Linked DNA regions of Callithrix jacchus. The protein of the gene in region 2 interacts with the protein of the main gene of each other region in a pairwise test. Links are inferred from orthologs where the notes say so. Each region holds a gene or a part of one and is shown on either strand. Other genes may lie near its edges.

Region 1 (7,748 bases), on a different chromosome or scaffold from region 2:
AAAAGGGAGAAGAATGTGTTCAGTAGAGGCAAGAGTGCCCCCCAACACCCTGCCCATGATCATGCACCTGGTTGTAGGGACTCCTTTGTAAAGCACCTGTATGGTGCCTGCTGTGAGAGGGTAATTGGGAACGAAAAAGACCAACAGATCCCTGCCTGTTGGAGCTTACAGCCTGGCCATTAAAAGAAGCATTAAAAGTGCATAATGGGCCAGGCGTGGTGGCTCACGCCTGTAATCCAAGCACTTTGGAGGCCAAGGCGGACAGATCACCTGAGGTTGAGAGTTCAAGACCAGTCTGACCAACATGGTGAAACTGCGTCTTAAAAAAATTAAAAATATCAAATATCAAATAAATTTTTTTAAAAAGTGCATAATGAATGACAAGACAGGGAAGTAACAAGGCACCTATACAGCATCCAATCTGACATGGGGCAAGGGCTGGGAATGTGATCTTTCAGCTGCTAGCTGAAGGATAAGTGCTAGATCAAGGAAGCAGAAGGATTCTATATAGAAGGCATCACGTGTGCTAAACAAATGCCCTGAAGCGGAAGAGAAAAAAGGAAGGCACCTGAAAGAAGGCCCTGAGGCTGGAGCAGAGGTGCTCAGAAAGAAGACACCAGGGCCTCCCAAGGCATCAGAGGAGGCAGTAAAGGTTTGGGTTTTTATCGCCCTAGGATCATATGATTTGAAAAAATAATGATTTTATCAAATGATTTTTTGAGGAGTTTTAAGCAAAGGAGAGGTCAGATCAGACTGCCATGTTTAGAAAACCTCTTTGCTCCCTTTCTGTGGCAAATGGCTAAGAGTTGACAAGACGGGAGGTATGCTCAGGTGTGTACCCAGGTGTAGACATGGAGAAAACAGGATTAGGGCTTTGCCAGGAGGCAATAGCAAAGGGGCAGGAGAGAGAGAGAGTCTCGGCCATCAGTAGGAAATGGGGTCCAAAGATAGCCCACAGAGTAGACCACATGGGGACGGACTTTTGCAGGAGGGGCTGGTGGTAAGAGGGAGGTCTGAGGCATCAATGGATTGGAGGGCCAGCAGGGCTAAGGACTGTCATGGAGGGAGGAGATCAGAGGACAAGTCTGAGGATAAGATGTGCACAACGGCTTCAGAGGTGGGACCATTTCAGGGTATGATAACATTCAGAATGTGGCTTGACATTCTATATAGGTAGCTATACGGGAGTGTTAGAGAAGGAAGCTGAAGAATATAAAAGGGCAGAGCCCAGGTTGCTGAAAAGGCCCATGCTAATCCAGTCCTCAGTGCCTAGAAGAATCAGAGAAACTCAACCATGCACAGGGTCCTCCAGGATGACAGAATTAGAGGCCCTTCCAGGAGCTCATATCCCTCCAACTTTCCTACCTCCACTGCCATCTTCACACTAAATGCTTGGCTTGACTAAATAAAAGCGGCCCTCTTCACAGCCATTTAGAGGTCCATGAACTGTTTAGCACATCCTCCTGGGGCAATGGTGGGTATCACAAGCATGAGTTATTGATTACAAACCTGGTCTCCAGGTTCATGGTCTCAGTCTTTGCAGCTGAGCTCCACAGAGTGGCTGTCTGCTTGCACAACACATATGACCGCATCTTGTGTCTCCACTAGGCTAGAAAGTCAAGGGCAGGCCATTATGCTTCCTTCAGTTTCTAGGGCCACACCTCATAGGTAATATTAATAGATACTCAATAAAGAAAGAAGCAATCCTGTTTACATAAAGTTCAAAACTGGCAAAACTAATTTAAGGTATTAAAAGTTAATATAGGACCCTTTTCACAAGATGGCGCCGAAAGCGAAGAAGGAAGCTCCTGCCCCTCCTAAAGCCAAAGCCAAAGCGAAGGCTTTAAAGGCCAAGAAGGCAGTGTTGAAAGGTGTCCACAGCCACAAAAAAAAGAAGATCTGCACGTCACCCACCTTCCGGCGGCCCAAGACCCCGCGACTCCGGAGGCAGCCCAAATATCCTCGGAAGAGCGCCCCCAGGAGAAACAAACTTGACCACTATGCGATCATCAAGTTTCCACTGACCACTGAGTCTGCCATGAAGAAGATAGAAGACAACAACACACTTGTGTTCATTGTGGATGTTAAAGCCAACAAGCACCAGATCAAACAGGCTGTGAAGAAGCCCTATGACATTGATGTGGCCAAGGTCAACACCCTGATTCGGCCTGATGGAGAGAAGAAGGCATATGTTCGACTGGCTCCTGATTACGATGCTTTGGATGTTGCAAACAAAATTGGGATCATCTAAACAGTCCAGCCGGCTAATTCTAAATATATGTATATCTTTTCACCATAAATAAATAAATAAATAAATAAATAAATAAATAAATAAAAGTTAATGTAATGGTTACATTCTGGTTGGGGAAGGTGACAGAAATGGAGTAGTAATGTTATATTTCTTGATCTGGGTGCTATTTATATGGATGTGTTCAGTGAAAATTCATTGATCTGTGTAATTATGATTTAAATACTTTTCTATATGTATGTTACATTTTGATCTATTTTTTAAACAGGTGAATGAATCAATCAGTGGTAGAAACTAACTTAGCTTAGCTTGAACTTGAAATGTTTCCCCCCAATATAGGATTCAAACTGCATGCTAAGGCAGGGGTTGGCAGATTTTTTGTTCAAGGACCAGATATTAAGTGTCTCACAGACTATAGTGTCTCTGTCGCAACTATTCAACTTTGCCACTAGAGTGTAAAAAACAGCCATAGATACTGCGTAAATGAGTAAATATGGCTGTGTTCCAATAAAACAGGAATACTGAACTTGGAATTTATATCATTTTCACAGTCTTCAAATAATACCCTTTTGATTTTTTTTTCAATTATTAAAAAATATTTAAACATTCTTAGCTCTCCAGTCATACAAAAACAGGCTGCTGGCCAGATGTGGCCTGCAGGAAGTAGTCTGCCAACTCTTGCACTAAAGGGGAATGTACATAAAACACATTTCCTGGCCCGCACACAGGCTCAGCCTGTCTTTCCCCAATCTGCCCCTCTGTGCTCTCCCACCTTTATAAGTAGGCAAACACTCCATCTTGTCACTACACGGATATTTACTGTCCCGAGGTTTGATGGGGTCCACTTGACAGACAGGGTAGGAATTGTAATCTTTCTTATACGTCGTGAGCAAATCCATATTCTCTTCACTTGGGACGAACTGGTCATATTGGTGGACCTTCACTGGTGACACTTTGTGAGGCCCAAAATCTCTCCTGTAAGGAAGCAAGTGCATGCCGTTGGAGTGCTTGGCTTGCAATAAGGCTGTGTTTTCCTCTCAACCCAACTCTACAAACATTTGCTGAGAAATCTTGTTCTACTCTACACACCCCCACACTCCCCAAACTGTTCTTCCTCCTCTATTTCCCACTATTTCCCACTTTTGAGAAAGGTACCATCAATTTCTTCTCACCCAAGTCAGACACCTGTACACACCCTTGACCTCCTTCCTTCACGGCCCCAGAGTCTGGCATTCACCAGTGCCCCTCCACCCCATGGGTTTTTCTTACCCCTTGCTCCAGACCCTGACCATTTCTCACTTGGATCAGGTGACAGCCTGCCACCTGAGCATCCTTCTTTATTTCTCTCACTTCTATTCAATCCCCATAATGTGGCCAGAATAAACTCTCCAAGTGGAAATCAGATCACTCTCTCTCCCCGGTTTAAAAATCTTCCAGGTAAAATTCAACTTTTTAGCATAATTTATAAGCTTTCCTGGACCTGGCTCCTGCCTTACTCACCCTTATCTGTCAAGGTTCCCATCCCACCTGAGTACCCTACACTCCACAATCACAATGCCACCACTTCTGCACCTGCGCCTTCCAACTTCCTTCCACACGACCCCTTCATTGTGGAGCTAACTTCCTTTCAGGTGATGCAGCCACCTTCTCCATGTTCCCCAAAGCTTCTGCTGCTAATATTTATCTCCTTCCTCTACTTAGCCTACAGAAAACCCAGAAGAGGGAAATGGTGAAATAAGTGGAGACCCTGAGTCCTTCATTTCTCTGCTATCTGGTGTCAGTGCCCCCATTATTTCAGAGAGTATGAAAACAATAGGATCGAAAAAGTATAATGGTCTTCACTAAACTGGAAGCAGTCCCTCCCCAAAGTTTCCCAGATAAAAAGGCCCAGATGCTCCCTGCAACGCCCACCAGGAACCGCCTTAAGGAGCCAGGGTTTAGCTTGGACTTGCGTTGCCCTCCAGGGCACTTGCAGCTTCCCATCTCTCAATGCTAGCGCTTCCCTCTGAAGGCTGTCTGCTTCATGCAACAGACTGTTCTTGCCTGGAAGCCATTTATCCAACTGGACAAAGGGAAGGTAGATGTTTTCCCCGATGGTGCTTGCCAGAACAGCCCCGTCAAGGGAAGGGGAAGGTTTCCGGACAGGAAAACATTAAGCCCGAACACCAATAAAATCCACTTCCCAGCCACAATCTGGAGCAGCATTACTGAGACATGCTTGACTAGCAAAGGTAACACGCTCCACTGTAACCTGTCTTGTGTGAATTATACACGATTGTCAGTAAACCCAAACCAGGTCCTGAAAATGCTTGGTGGGATGGGAGGAGGAAGTTAGGAAGCAGGAGAATTAGTCTCTCTAGGGCTCTAAGGAGGAAATGGGAGATGCTTCAGTTGAACTCCCCTAACACCCTCTGGGTAGATTTTAAAATATATCATAGCAGCGGTTATAGGACGTTCAGCCTGGGCTGCCTTCCTAGAGGCCCTGCTGTTAGCCTGAAGTGTCTGGAAGCTGACGGTGTATATCGGGGCTTATGGAGGGAACAGACTGAACAAGAAACCAAGAGTCAGCTCCCACGTCTACTCTTCTCCGTGAACCAGTACTACATCCTGGTGTCTGTCTATTCAGCACTAAACCAGCTGCAGCAGGAAACTAAGAGGGTAAAGCCTTAGACTGCAAAGACAAATGAAAATGCCCAGAAAACTTCATCTGAAAACCAGCTGAGTGGAAAGGGTCTCTGGGTCAGAAAGCATACATTCTAAAGGGAGTACTCCCAAGGAAGTTGAGCTCTCCTCACTCCCAGAAGAGTGGGCCAGATTTCAAGGCCACCAGAGACCATACATTCCTAAACCTTCATAAAGGTGTGTGTTCAGTGATGGCTCCCTAATCCTGCACCCTATTCATTTCCAAGGAGTATTAAGAGGTATTAAGGGCAAGCAATGAGGAACGAAGCTGGGTTCCTGAGCTGCCACACTGAGCCCAGCCAACCTCAGTGCACCTAGGAATGATTTCCAGTTGTGAGCCTGCCACTCTTGGGGATCCCATACCCAGAGGCTATGGCAGCCTCTTCTGTAGTTACTCTGACCGAGAGGACCAGCTTCCTCTCAGGGATGCCGCAAGATCCTCCGTTCAAAGGCTGCCAGGCTCTTGATAACTAAAGTACACTTACTGCTTATCTCCCACACCTTCTACTGGAAAAGAGCAGACAAATGCCCAAAAACGAATTCACCAGTTCACAGACTATCCTGAAATTAGTTTCCTGAAGACAAAAGCCAGTCACCTTCTCCAGTACAAAATTTAAGTTCCTTTGTAAGTGTTCCTCTATGGTTTAATTTATTGATCAGTCATAACTACGGCAAATGATTATGGGCGGTAGGGGGAGGTGGTATCTACTTCTGAAGACAAGAAAAATTTTTAAGTTTGACTTTTATAACCTACCCAAACATAGTTACTGTGGCTTAGGAGTGAATTTAATCTGAATTTATGTGTTTCCTCATTATGTTTTTATGTTGAGAACATTCACTGAAACCTGTCATTAACCACAACAGAACTGCATGTCCCCAATCACACATAATCTTACAGCCTTTAAATTCATGTACAAGAAAAGACTGTATTTTAGTCTTCCCCAAAATTGCTCAAATTAACTAGCTTTTCTTTTTAAGAACACTGGATCTCTTCTCTCTTTCTGTGGTACATTTCTCTGTGCACATGTGACATGAACCAAGAAAAGGAAACTGGTCACAGATATAAGTTTCTTTTAGGTAAGCAGCTGTAAAAGTTATAGAGTAGGGAAGGCCAAGAGTTAAACTCAGAGTTAAGTAAAAGGTTGGAGTGGTCCTGCTGGGAAAGTCGTAACAACTTGACTTCAAATTATTTAGCAAAGCTGGAGAAAGGCGTTTGACAAGACTCTGACAAAAGGAAAGAGGAAATAACGAACAGCGAACTAGGTTCCTGAGCCTGGCGGTGAGAAATGAAGATTTTTTTCACCAGGACAAAAGGGCCACACAACACTTTTTTAAAACCTGTTTTTAATGCTTATTTATGCAAACTTCAAGATTTGTTAGTATGTCCAAGTGATCAATTACATTAAGATGGAATCCACTTAAAAGAGGTTCCTCCTCTTGCCCTGAGCCAACTTCTTTCATCCCTGCCCTCTTTCTTGGGAACCTCATCTGTAGACCATCTCCTAGACTGTGATTTTCCCTCTTCCTCCCTACTGTCTCCTTTCTCCACTGAGTGTTAGCTCCGATCTCCAAAGGTAAAGAGTAAAATAAGACAGTCCTCACTGGGCTCCATTCCACGCCAGTTTTCCCTTCTCTCTTTCAGAAAGGGTGGTCTACAGGCAGACTTGCTTTCCTCTCCTCATGTCTCACCCATCAGATCTGATTCCCCTCAACCTTGATACTCCAAGTATCACCTTGTTTTCCAGACCCAATCACTGCTTCTCATCCTTCTCCCACTGTGCTTTTTCATAGCATCCATCCTCTCAATTTTTCAATAGTCTCTCCCTTGACTTCTGTGATACTACTCCTCATGGTCTGTTCTCTCTCTCCTCTATCAGATTCTGCTCTGTGTCCGTTGATTTGATTGACTTCACTACTTCTACATGTAATTCTCAAACTTTCTAAGGTCAAAAGTCACCCATCTAAAGAAACTGTTCTGCCATCCTAGGCAGCTTGGGGAGTCCATCCCAATGTGCTGCCAAAGGTCCTTGGCTGAATCACAGGGCTTGATTCATGCCCCCAATCCTTATGGGACATAGAGTCCTCCTTACCCTCACTGTAACAGATGGGATTCCAAGCCCACGCACTCCAGGATCCAAGTTACATAGCACCTGTCTTCTTCTCTGCCATCTGAGCCCTCAACTCCCACTAGGGCTAAGGCAAACATCTGTCACGACTTCATATAAACTCCAGACAAAATATTTCAAACAATTTGAAAGATCTAAAGAGGTAGATTCTGGGGAGAGCCAACAGGTGGAAGCAGAAAATGGCACTGTGTGAGGCTTTGCTGATTATTTTCCATTAACTATGAAAGATTCAAAGCTTCCAGATTGAAGGTCAGCTCCAGTCTGTGTCAGGTAGGGCAGCTAAAAGATGAATCTTTCTTGATTATCTTTTCTTGACTATAAAACCAGAGGACTAAGTTTGAGGCAACCACAGATGCTGGAAAATGAAGAAAGAAACCTGAAAATGAGAGAGCAAAAGACAGGAAGCCTCAATACATAAACTGGGCCCAAATCTCTGCATGACCTCACATGTATGGGGTAGATTTCAAGCTAAAGAACTCAAATGAGATTGGAGCTGCCACCCAAGACACAGAGTGTGCATTTTCAACAATCAAATAACCTGCCTGCCAAAGATAAAAACACTCTTCAGGGGAATGCAAAGACACTTATGGAGACCAACTCCAGGCAGACCAGACATTTGCAATTAGCAGACAAAAATTTTACAGCTTTTTAAACCATGCTCAACAAGGAAAGCAACGTAAGGTCATAATAAA
Region 2 (7,986 bases):
TCTGTGAGTGCTTGAGCTTCTGCTGCCTTCCCCTTCATGATGCCGCTGCCCTCACTGTTTGCTGCTAATGATCCTTATCCCTTCCATGGCTGAAGATGAGACCTGCCAAGGTGTCCTTGCCAGGCCCAGGAAGCATAACCCCAGGGAGTTTAAATCGAAGTCCTAGGGGTACCTGGGATAGGGAGGAAATGAGGACCAAATCCAAACACAAACTATTGAAGGATGAATCTTCAGTTTCTTTCAAGTAGAAGTTTAATCCAGTAGTTTATCTTTGAGAGTTAGACTGCTGCCCTGTTCTTCCTGCCGCCTCTACATTTACAAACTGGAAGCAAGGCTTGGCCCAGGCTCCTCTGCATTATGAGGGTTTGGGAGTGGGGCTGGGCTGGCCTAGAGTTCCTGGGCATGGAGCCACGTCATAAGCTTGGGGGATGGGAGGGAACACAGGCGATCTCCTAGAGTTGTTTGTGCTACTGCACCTCTGAGCAGCTTTGCATAGCTTCCTGTCTTGCTGCTTTGCTGGAGCTGGGGCTGTGCCATTAAAAGTCAGGTCATCTCCCCTCTGTTTGTGATTTATTTCTGGCCTCAGCCTCAGTGCTAACTGGTGGGAGACTCCTGCTAGGGCCCCCGGGAAAGCTTCAACTTTGCCAACAGGAGCCCCAGGCCCCATGCTGATGTCAGCCTGCAGGGTGGGCATGGTTGGAGGGAGGAGGCTTGGATCACAACCAAAGGAGATGCCAACCCTGCCCTTGCCTTTCCTCCCGCCTTTCCTCCCTGGTGATTCAGGGACAGTGCCCTTCCCTAGGGAACAGGTTTGACGTCCAGCTAAGACAGGGCCCCTGTTTACTCAGCAGAGTAGGCAAGAAGTGGCAGCTGGATACTGCCATACCACACTGCCCCATTAATCATTAACCATGTATGAGCTAGAACCATCAGGGAGACATGAGCCCAAACAGCTGCCACCTCCACTCCCCTTGCCCCTAGGCTGAGGATGGGAGATTGTAATGTAGCTGTCCCAAAGCTTCCTCAGGTGTCTCCACCCAGAGGCCCTTGCCTGGCAAACCGGCTGGGCTGCTTTGACAACTGCTCAACCCAGGAGTGAAGGAAGGAAAGAACTAGTTGGGTGCTTTTAGGGGGCCTTAGTCCCAGTTTTGACACAGGCAGACACCAGCTTAAGCCCAAGCAGCTTTAAGTTCTGATCTAAGACAAACTAGAACTGTCCACTGCTAACCAACCTCCTTCCATGGAATGAAGTCACACCACTGCTGACTCTGCACCAGTCCCTCTTCTTCCCAGGTTGTTCACCTGGAAATGGCAACCAGACTCTGGGTGCCCTGCACCTCTTCTCTCACTCCAGGAACACTGAGACTTAAGATCCACTCCAACCTGTTTCCTCTTTATTCTTTATACATTCTCCTGCTCCCAGATTTGGAGGCAGAACATGATATGAGCTCAGCAGTCCCACTCAGAGCCATGTTCCATATCCCAGCAGTTTCCCTTTTCCCAACCCCCACCCACCCTCACTCAGTAAGTCTCCTTGCCCAGGTTTTGCTCTTGGAGGTAAGAAAGCAGAAGAGCGGATGCAGGACTGAGATGACTGTCCTGACCCCGTGACCCCCAAGTGTAAGAGAACAGTATCCTGGATGGAATTAGGGGAGATTCCAATGAGGGATAGGAACCTCTTTCTAAGGCCTGAGGGACCACCTTCTCAACATGCCGCTGCTTTTTCAGATTTGGGTAGTGTGCTGGCCAGGAGCTGGGGGCTGTAGCACCTCCAGCTGACTGAGGAGTTGAGGAATGTGAGGACGCTGCTGTGGGTCCACGGTCATCATCGAGGCCAGGAGCTGCCGCAATGCTGAAGAATGCCTGTGGAGGGAGGAGCTCAGGGAGATTGGATGACACCTATCCGCCAACTCAGCTAATACCAGGGGGGAGTCTGAAACACCTCGTGCCACATTCATTGCTTGCTCACCTGGGGCTTTGTGGGATGCTGAGTTGGTTCTGCACAGCAAGGGCCACACTGTCACCCTTCTGGAACACCATGTCATAAGGGCCTTCCCCAAACATCATGGCATATAGCACGCAGCCTAGGGACTGAGTATAACTTGGTTAGTACCTAGAAGGGGACCAATGGAGGTGACATCTCTCTCCTTCTGTGGTAAAAGGACACTATATAAGCTAAAAATATGCTGACCTCAGCCACATGGTACCGCCAGGGCCCAGAGAAACTGCCAGTCAGCCAGAGGCCTCTGTAGCCGCTGCTTAGCCAGTGCCTTCAGTACTGACACTGAGCTGTATTCACCCTGTTCAGGGGCAGGGATTATACCACATCCGGTGCAATTGGGTACAGTATCAGTAACAGTTCCCAGGAAGGAAGTTGAAGTGGATGGGGACATATTGTGGCTCCTGGGGCCCCATGCAACAGAAACCAACAACCTACTCTACTCCACAGTGGGTACAGAGCCACAGCCCTCCCTACCCAGATGCCCTCCTACATGCTCCTCACCCAGACATCAGTCCGCTCATCGATGACACAGTGACTCTGCACAGAGAAGAGTTCTGGGGCTCGGTAGGAGATGGTGCACCGCTGGGCTGCCCAGTCCTGGAACAGTGGTCCCAGAGCTCAAAAGTGGAGCACAGGGCATGGTCATGTGACCAAACCGGGGCATGCACCAGAAGGGGCGGAATGGGGAACTGGTGAGAAAAGGAGCATGGAGACTCTTTTACCTGCAGGGTCAGGGCCTGGCGGGAGCCCTCCACGTGGATGCATGCTTGATTCATGGAACCCAAGTCCATTAAAACTGGCTGCCCTTCGTCTCCAAGCAATATATTGGTGGGCTTCAGGTCTCTGTAGGGAAGTAGAAATGACCTGGACATCTCTGGACAGGAAGCCTGGAATCCCGGTGAGCAAAAGAGTCATGCAGGCTGTTTCTTGAGAGAACAGAGACCTCCCATTTCTCTTAGTGAGGCTCTTCCTCTGGGCCCCAGCAAGCACACAGGGTCCTCCCACTGACCTGTGGGCATAACCCTTGGCATGAATGGCCTCAAGCCCTCTGCAGATCCCCAGCAGCAGCCGAAGGATTTGATCCTCGGTCAGGAAATTGCCTTTGTCCTTCAGCCTTTCTATCTCATTCCACAGCGTACCTCTCTGCAACACAAGTTTCCCTAAAGTTGGAGATGTTTTTGGAGCCTCTGCTCCCTAGGCCTGATCCCTTCCATGTGTCAAAGCCTATCAGGCCTTTCATGACACACACCTCAAACCCCAAATCCAAAGCGGCCACCCAGGACGTGGTCCCTGCTTCCTAACATCTGGACTGCTCACACAGCCCTTGGGTACGTGGCTCTGTTGCAACCCCCTCCATAACCAAGAGTCTTTCTGACCTTGAAGAATGGTAGCAGCAGCCAAGCCTCATGCTTAGCACCCCGCTCCCTCAGACAGTAAGCCACGAGGTGAAGGATGTTGGGGTGATTGAAGAGGTGATGCATGTCGGCCTCTCGCTGGGCCTCCTCCCGGTCCTGCTGCTCATGACACAGGATTCGCTTCAGGGCGTAGAAGTGTCCATCATGTAACCCTTCCACTAGGTCCACATAGCTGAACCCACTGTGGGCCAAAGGGGTCAATGAAGGGCCATGGTCATCTCCAACATGGCTTGGACCTAGAGAAATTTCCTGGTGGGGAGTGGGGTGTTCTTCCCATTTAGCAGAAACCCTCCCAAGATGTGGCTCTAAGTGAAATCTGAAGAATATTATACTGTGAGCTCCTCAGGAGCAGAGATATAGAAATCTTTGAGGTCCTATGGTCATAATAGAGATCTCTGCACCTGACAGAAGTAAATAATAGCCAACACTTATCAAGTACTTAGGAACCAAGCACTGGGTGAGACATTTTATAATATTATCTCATTTAATCCTCACAACTCCATCAGTGAGGCATGATAATCATCTCCATTAAGCAGATGGAAAAAAACATGGTTTATCAAAGTCACACAAAGTGGATTTAGCAGGCCTGGCTCCAGGATCCACCTTCTCGATACCGTGTAGCTAAGAGCTGTCAGGTGAGAGAGGACAGGGATAGGGATAAAACCCTTGTGCCCCAAACATGTGCAGACCGCTGTCCTTCAATGACCATAACCTTCAGGACTAGTTAATTGACTTCCAAACACTCACCCCTCCCCCAGTTTCTGGATGAAGAGGTAGCGCTTATTGTCAATGATGACAGTTCCCCGAGAGCAGACACACAGTGCGTGGCCCATAATGTCTCAGTCATCCTCTTCAAGGACGATCTGAGGCTACCGAAGAGCTCGTCCAAGATGAGTGGGCTCTTCCAGGAGATGCGCTGGGAGCCCAGCGGATCATGCTGGAAAGAAAACAACGGCAGGGTCGCAGGTCCGGCACAATCCAGAAGATTCCTGAAGTCCCAATGCGGAGAGCTCAGGCCCAGGTCTCTGGGACCTACACTACTCTACTGTCTAGGGAAAACAGGCCCTGCTCCGTCGCCAGCTCCAAGGGTGGGGTCAGGGGCCTTACGGCCTCAGGACAGACACACAGCGGCTACCCAGCCACTTCCTCCAACCCCAGCCCACCTTTGGGCAGCCCCACTCCCATGCCCGTCGCGCCGCAAAGGCAGAGCACAGGGTAGTTCAAAAGACGTGCGAGGCTCAAGCCCATTCCTGGCAGGGCCCACCCCTGGCTTCGGAGCCCAGAGCCCGGGGTGGGCCAGCCCGCACTCCCCGACTGACCTGGCTCGGCCAGAGCGCAGCGCCACGGACCGGAAGCAGCGCTGACATCATCAGTCCGCACCGGCGCAACGGCCGGCGATATCTTAGCAACCGCTAGGCAGTCGGAGGATGTGAGGGCGGCGAGCTGAGAGGCCCGGAGCGGGCTAGGCCTGGCGGGGGACGGGTCGCAGGACTCTTGTGAGGGTTCTCTACTTGGCCTTCAGTAGGGGTCAAGACGCAGACACCTGCGCCAAAGGGGAACAAAGCCGGGCTTGGCCCGAGGCCCCCAGGATCTCCATCTCCTAATGTTGGAGGTAGGAGGCTTCATACCTCCGGCACTCCGGGGCAGAACGCCGCCGACTACACTGCAGCCTGGAGGGGGATCCAGGGAGGGGCGGGTCTGGTGGTCTGGATTGCTGATCCCGTACAACTTCCGGGCTCTGGGCTGTATCGCACTACCCTTAGTCTCAGTGATTCAGAGCTCAGGCTTGTGAACCAGACTTTCAGTTTCTAAATTGAATGTTAATAGCATACTAGCTGTGTAAACTCGCGCAAGTTTCTTAACTTCTTGGATCATTAATTTTGGTACCTGAAAAAAGGTATTAGTACCTAAGGTTAAGTAGCTTAACCGTGAGGCGGGACTGACTAGTTGAAATGCCAGCTCTATTAACATAGTTGCCTGACCTTGGACAGGCTACTTAATGTTTCCGTCCTTTCCTCTCCTCCTCTGTGAAATGGAAATGATATTATCTACCTCGTGGACTTGTTTGAAGATTAGATGAGATATACAGTGTTTAATACAATATCTGACACATAGCCTTCAGTACGTGTCAACAGTAATTATTATTACCCTGATCTTCACATCCCATGCTTGAAACTGTAAAAGCAAAAGGAACGGAAATTCACAAATTTCCAAGCCTTGGCACAAAGCAATTGTCCTTGACATCTGTTGCCGAGGCAGGCAGGGGTAAGCTGGAGAAGGGTGCACTTCCAATGAAGGTGGAATGGCCAGGAGGGAATGGCTGTTTTGCTGAAACAGGGGTCTCAGGAAAAAGGTCCTTCTATGACCTGGTTGCCCCCTTCCACACCCCGGATCACGCTGAAGATTTTCCAGTGGTTTCCCTTGGTTCTGAACATGTTTTAGCTCTTTGGTTCTGACATTCATTCATCTAGATTTAACCTGCTGTGTGCCGGGCCCTGTGCTAGAAGCTGAGGATTTGAGATAAAAAGGGCACTCCCTGTCCTCAGGGAGCCCAGTCAAGTCAAGCCATGCTTCTCAATTTTGAAGGTGCCTAAGATCACCTGGGAATCTTGTTAAAATACAAATTTGATTCTATAGGTCTGAGGTAGGATCTGAGATTTTGCATTTCTTTTTTCTTTTTTTTTTTTTTTTTTTTGAGACAGTGTCTCTTCTCTCTGTTGCCCAGGCTGGAGTGCAGTGGCAGGATAGCTCACTGCAGCCTCCGCCTTCCGGGTTCCAGCAGTTCTCCTGCCCAGCTACGCTAGTATCTGAGATTACAGGCTTACGCCACCAGTCCCGACTAATTTTTGTATTTTCAGTAGAGACAGGTTTCACCATATTGGCCAGACTGATCTCAAACTCTTGACTTCAGGTGATCCACCTGCCTCAGCCTCCCAAACTACTGGGATTACAGACGTGAGCCACCGCACTTGGCCAGATTCTGTATTTCTTCTTTTTTTTTTTTGGTTTTGTGTGTGTGTGTGTGTGTGTGTGTGTGTGTGTGTGGTTGTTTTTGAAACATTGTTTCACTCTTGTTGCCCAGACTGCAGTGCAATGGCCTGATCTAGGCTCACAGCAACCTTCACCTCCTGGGTTCAAACAATTCTCCTGCCTCAGCCTCCTGAACAGCTGGAATTACAGGTGCCCACCACCATGCCCAGCTAATTTTTGTATTTTTAGTAGAGACGGGGTTTCGCCATGTTGGCCAGGCTGGTTTCAAACTCCTGATCTCAGGTGATCCACGAGCTTTGGCCTTCCAAAGTGCCGGGATTACAGGTGTGAGCCACCATGCCCGGCCCAGATTCTGCATTTCTTTTTTTTCTTTTCTTTTTTTTTTTTTTTGAGACGGAGTTTCGTTCTTCTTACCCAGGCTGGAGTTCAATGGCGCGATCTCGGCTCACCGCAACCTCCGCCTCCTGGGTTCAGGCAATTCTTCTGCCTCAGCCTCCTAAGTAGCTGGGATTACAGGCACAGGCCATCATGCCCAGCTAATTGTTTTGTATTTTTAGTAGAGGCGGGGTTTCACCATGTTGACCAGGATGGTCTCGATCTCCTGACCTCGTGATCCACCCGTCTCGGGCTCCCAAAGTGCTGGGATTACAGGCATGAGCCACCGCGCCCGGCCCCAGATTCTGCATTTCTAACAATGCTCCCAGGTGACGCTGATGAAGCTGATTGGTTAACTGTACTTTAGCATGATAAAGAGGATTTTACAAACTAGTAGAGTAGGGGGTGGCTGCAGGCTGGAGAGGAGGAAGTCCAGGCTAACTGCCTGGCAACTTGAGGTGGTCTCCGCCCCCTTGCTTGCTGAGGTTCCCTCCCAGGAATCTGACACGTGACAGTCTGTCTGCAGTCTCCGACTAGAGGAGCCTTGTAAGCGCCATGGCTCCCAAGAAGCCATCCTGCCTTCACTCCCTGTTGCTGCCGCTTCTGACGCTACTGCTGCCTCAGGTAAGAAGATGAGGCAGTTGAACCAGTTGACGGGGTGGAGGGCGGGGGGTGCGGTGACGCAGGACCAGATCCAGCGGATAAGAGAAAGTCAAAAGTAACAACGAAGCCACCCTCGGGGCTACTTCCATCTCCTCCGCTTTGGGCAGGCGCTGACCCTCGACCCTCCCTCCAGGCATCTGCTGAGCAGTATCTCTTTCTCTTTGTAGGCAGACACTCGGTCGTTCGTAGTGGATCGGGATCATGACAGGTTTCTCCTAGACGGGGCCCCGTTCCGCTATGTATCTGGCAGCCTGCATTATTTTCGGGTACCGCGAGTGCTTTGGGCCGACCGGCTTTTAAAGATGCGATGGAGCGGCCTCAACGCCATACAGTTGTAAGAAGTGTTGGCAAGAGCCGCGAAGGGGTGGGGTCTACCACCCACTAAGAAAGGAGGTCGGGACGGGAAGACTGGCATGTTTGAACAGGGCTTAGCACTCCAGGACTCCTAGGCCAAGGGTGGGAAAGGACAGGGCAGGACCTCCTTCCAGCCGCTTCCTGGAGATGCCCTGCAAGGCCTGAGCCCGTAGGCCTCCTGGTGTC

The links.
Region 1: the proteins of STK16 (region 2) and SAXO1 interact in binary tests that used the Homo sapiens proteins (3 or more experiments, as listed by UniProt). The two-hybrid records come from large-scale screens. The link is inferred for Callithrix jacchus from reciprocal best matches to the Homo sapiens genes STK16 and SAXO1.

The regions. Positions count from the first base shown.
Region 1 is NC_133502.1:125,542,336-125,550,083, forward strand, and holds part of SAXO1 (stabilizer of axonemal microtubules 1), read right to left. Parts: intron 3,224-7,748; coding exon 3,021-3,223; intron 2,338-3,020; exon of another isoform or gene 1,765-2,337; intron 1-1,764. UniProt on the Homo sapiens protein: May play a role in the regulation of cilium length. Stabilizes microtubules at low temperature.
Region 2 is NC_133507.1:140,986,074-140,994,059, reverse strand, and holds STK16 (serine/threonine-protein kinase 16), read right to left. Parts: upstream 4,763-7,986; 5' UTR 4,581-4,762; exon of another isoform or gene 4,355-4,580; 5' UTR 4,251-4,354; coding exon 4,165-4,250; intron 3,599-4,164; coding exon 3,379-3,598; intron 3,146-3,378; coding exon 3,012-3,145; intron 2,890-3,011; coding exon of another isoform or gene 2,846-2,889; coding exon 2,725-2,845; intron 2,620-2,724; coding exon of another isoform or gene 2,600-2,619; coding exon 2,504-2,599; intron 2,092-2,503; coding exon 1,970-2,091; intron 1,864-1,969; coding exon 1,725-1,863; 3' UTR 1,373-1,724; downstream 1-1,372. Other genes in the region: GLB1L (beta-galactosidase-1-like protein), read left to right, coding at 7,339-7,407, 7,614-7,780. UniProt on the Homo sapiens protein: Membrane-associated protein kinase that phosphorylates on serine and threonine residues. In vitro substrates include DRG1, ENO1 and EIF4EBP1. Also autophosphorylates. May be involved in secretory vesicle trafficking or intracellular signaling.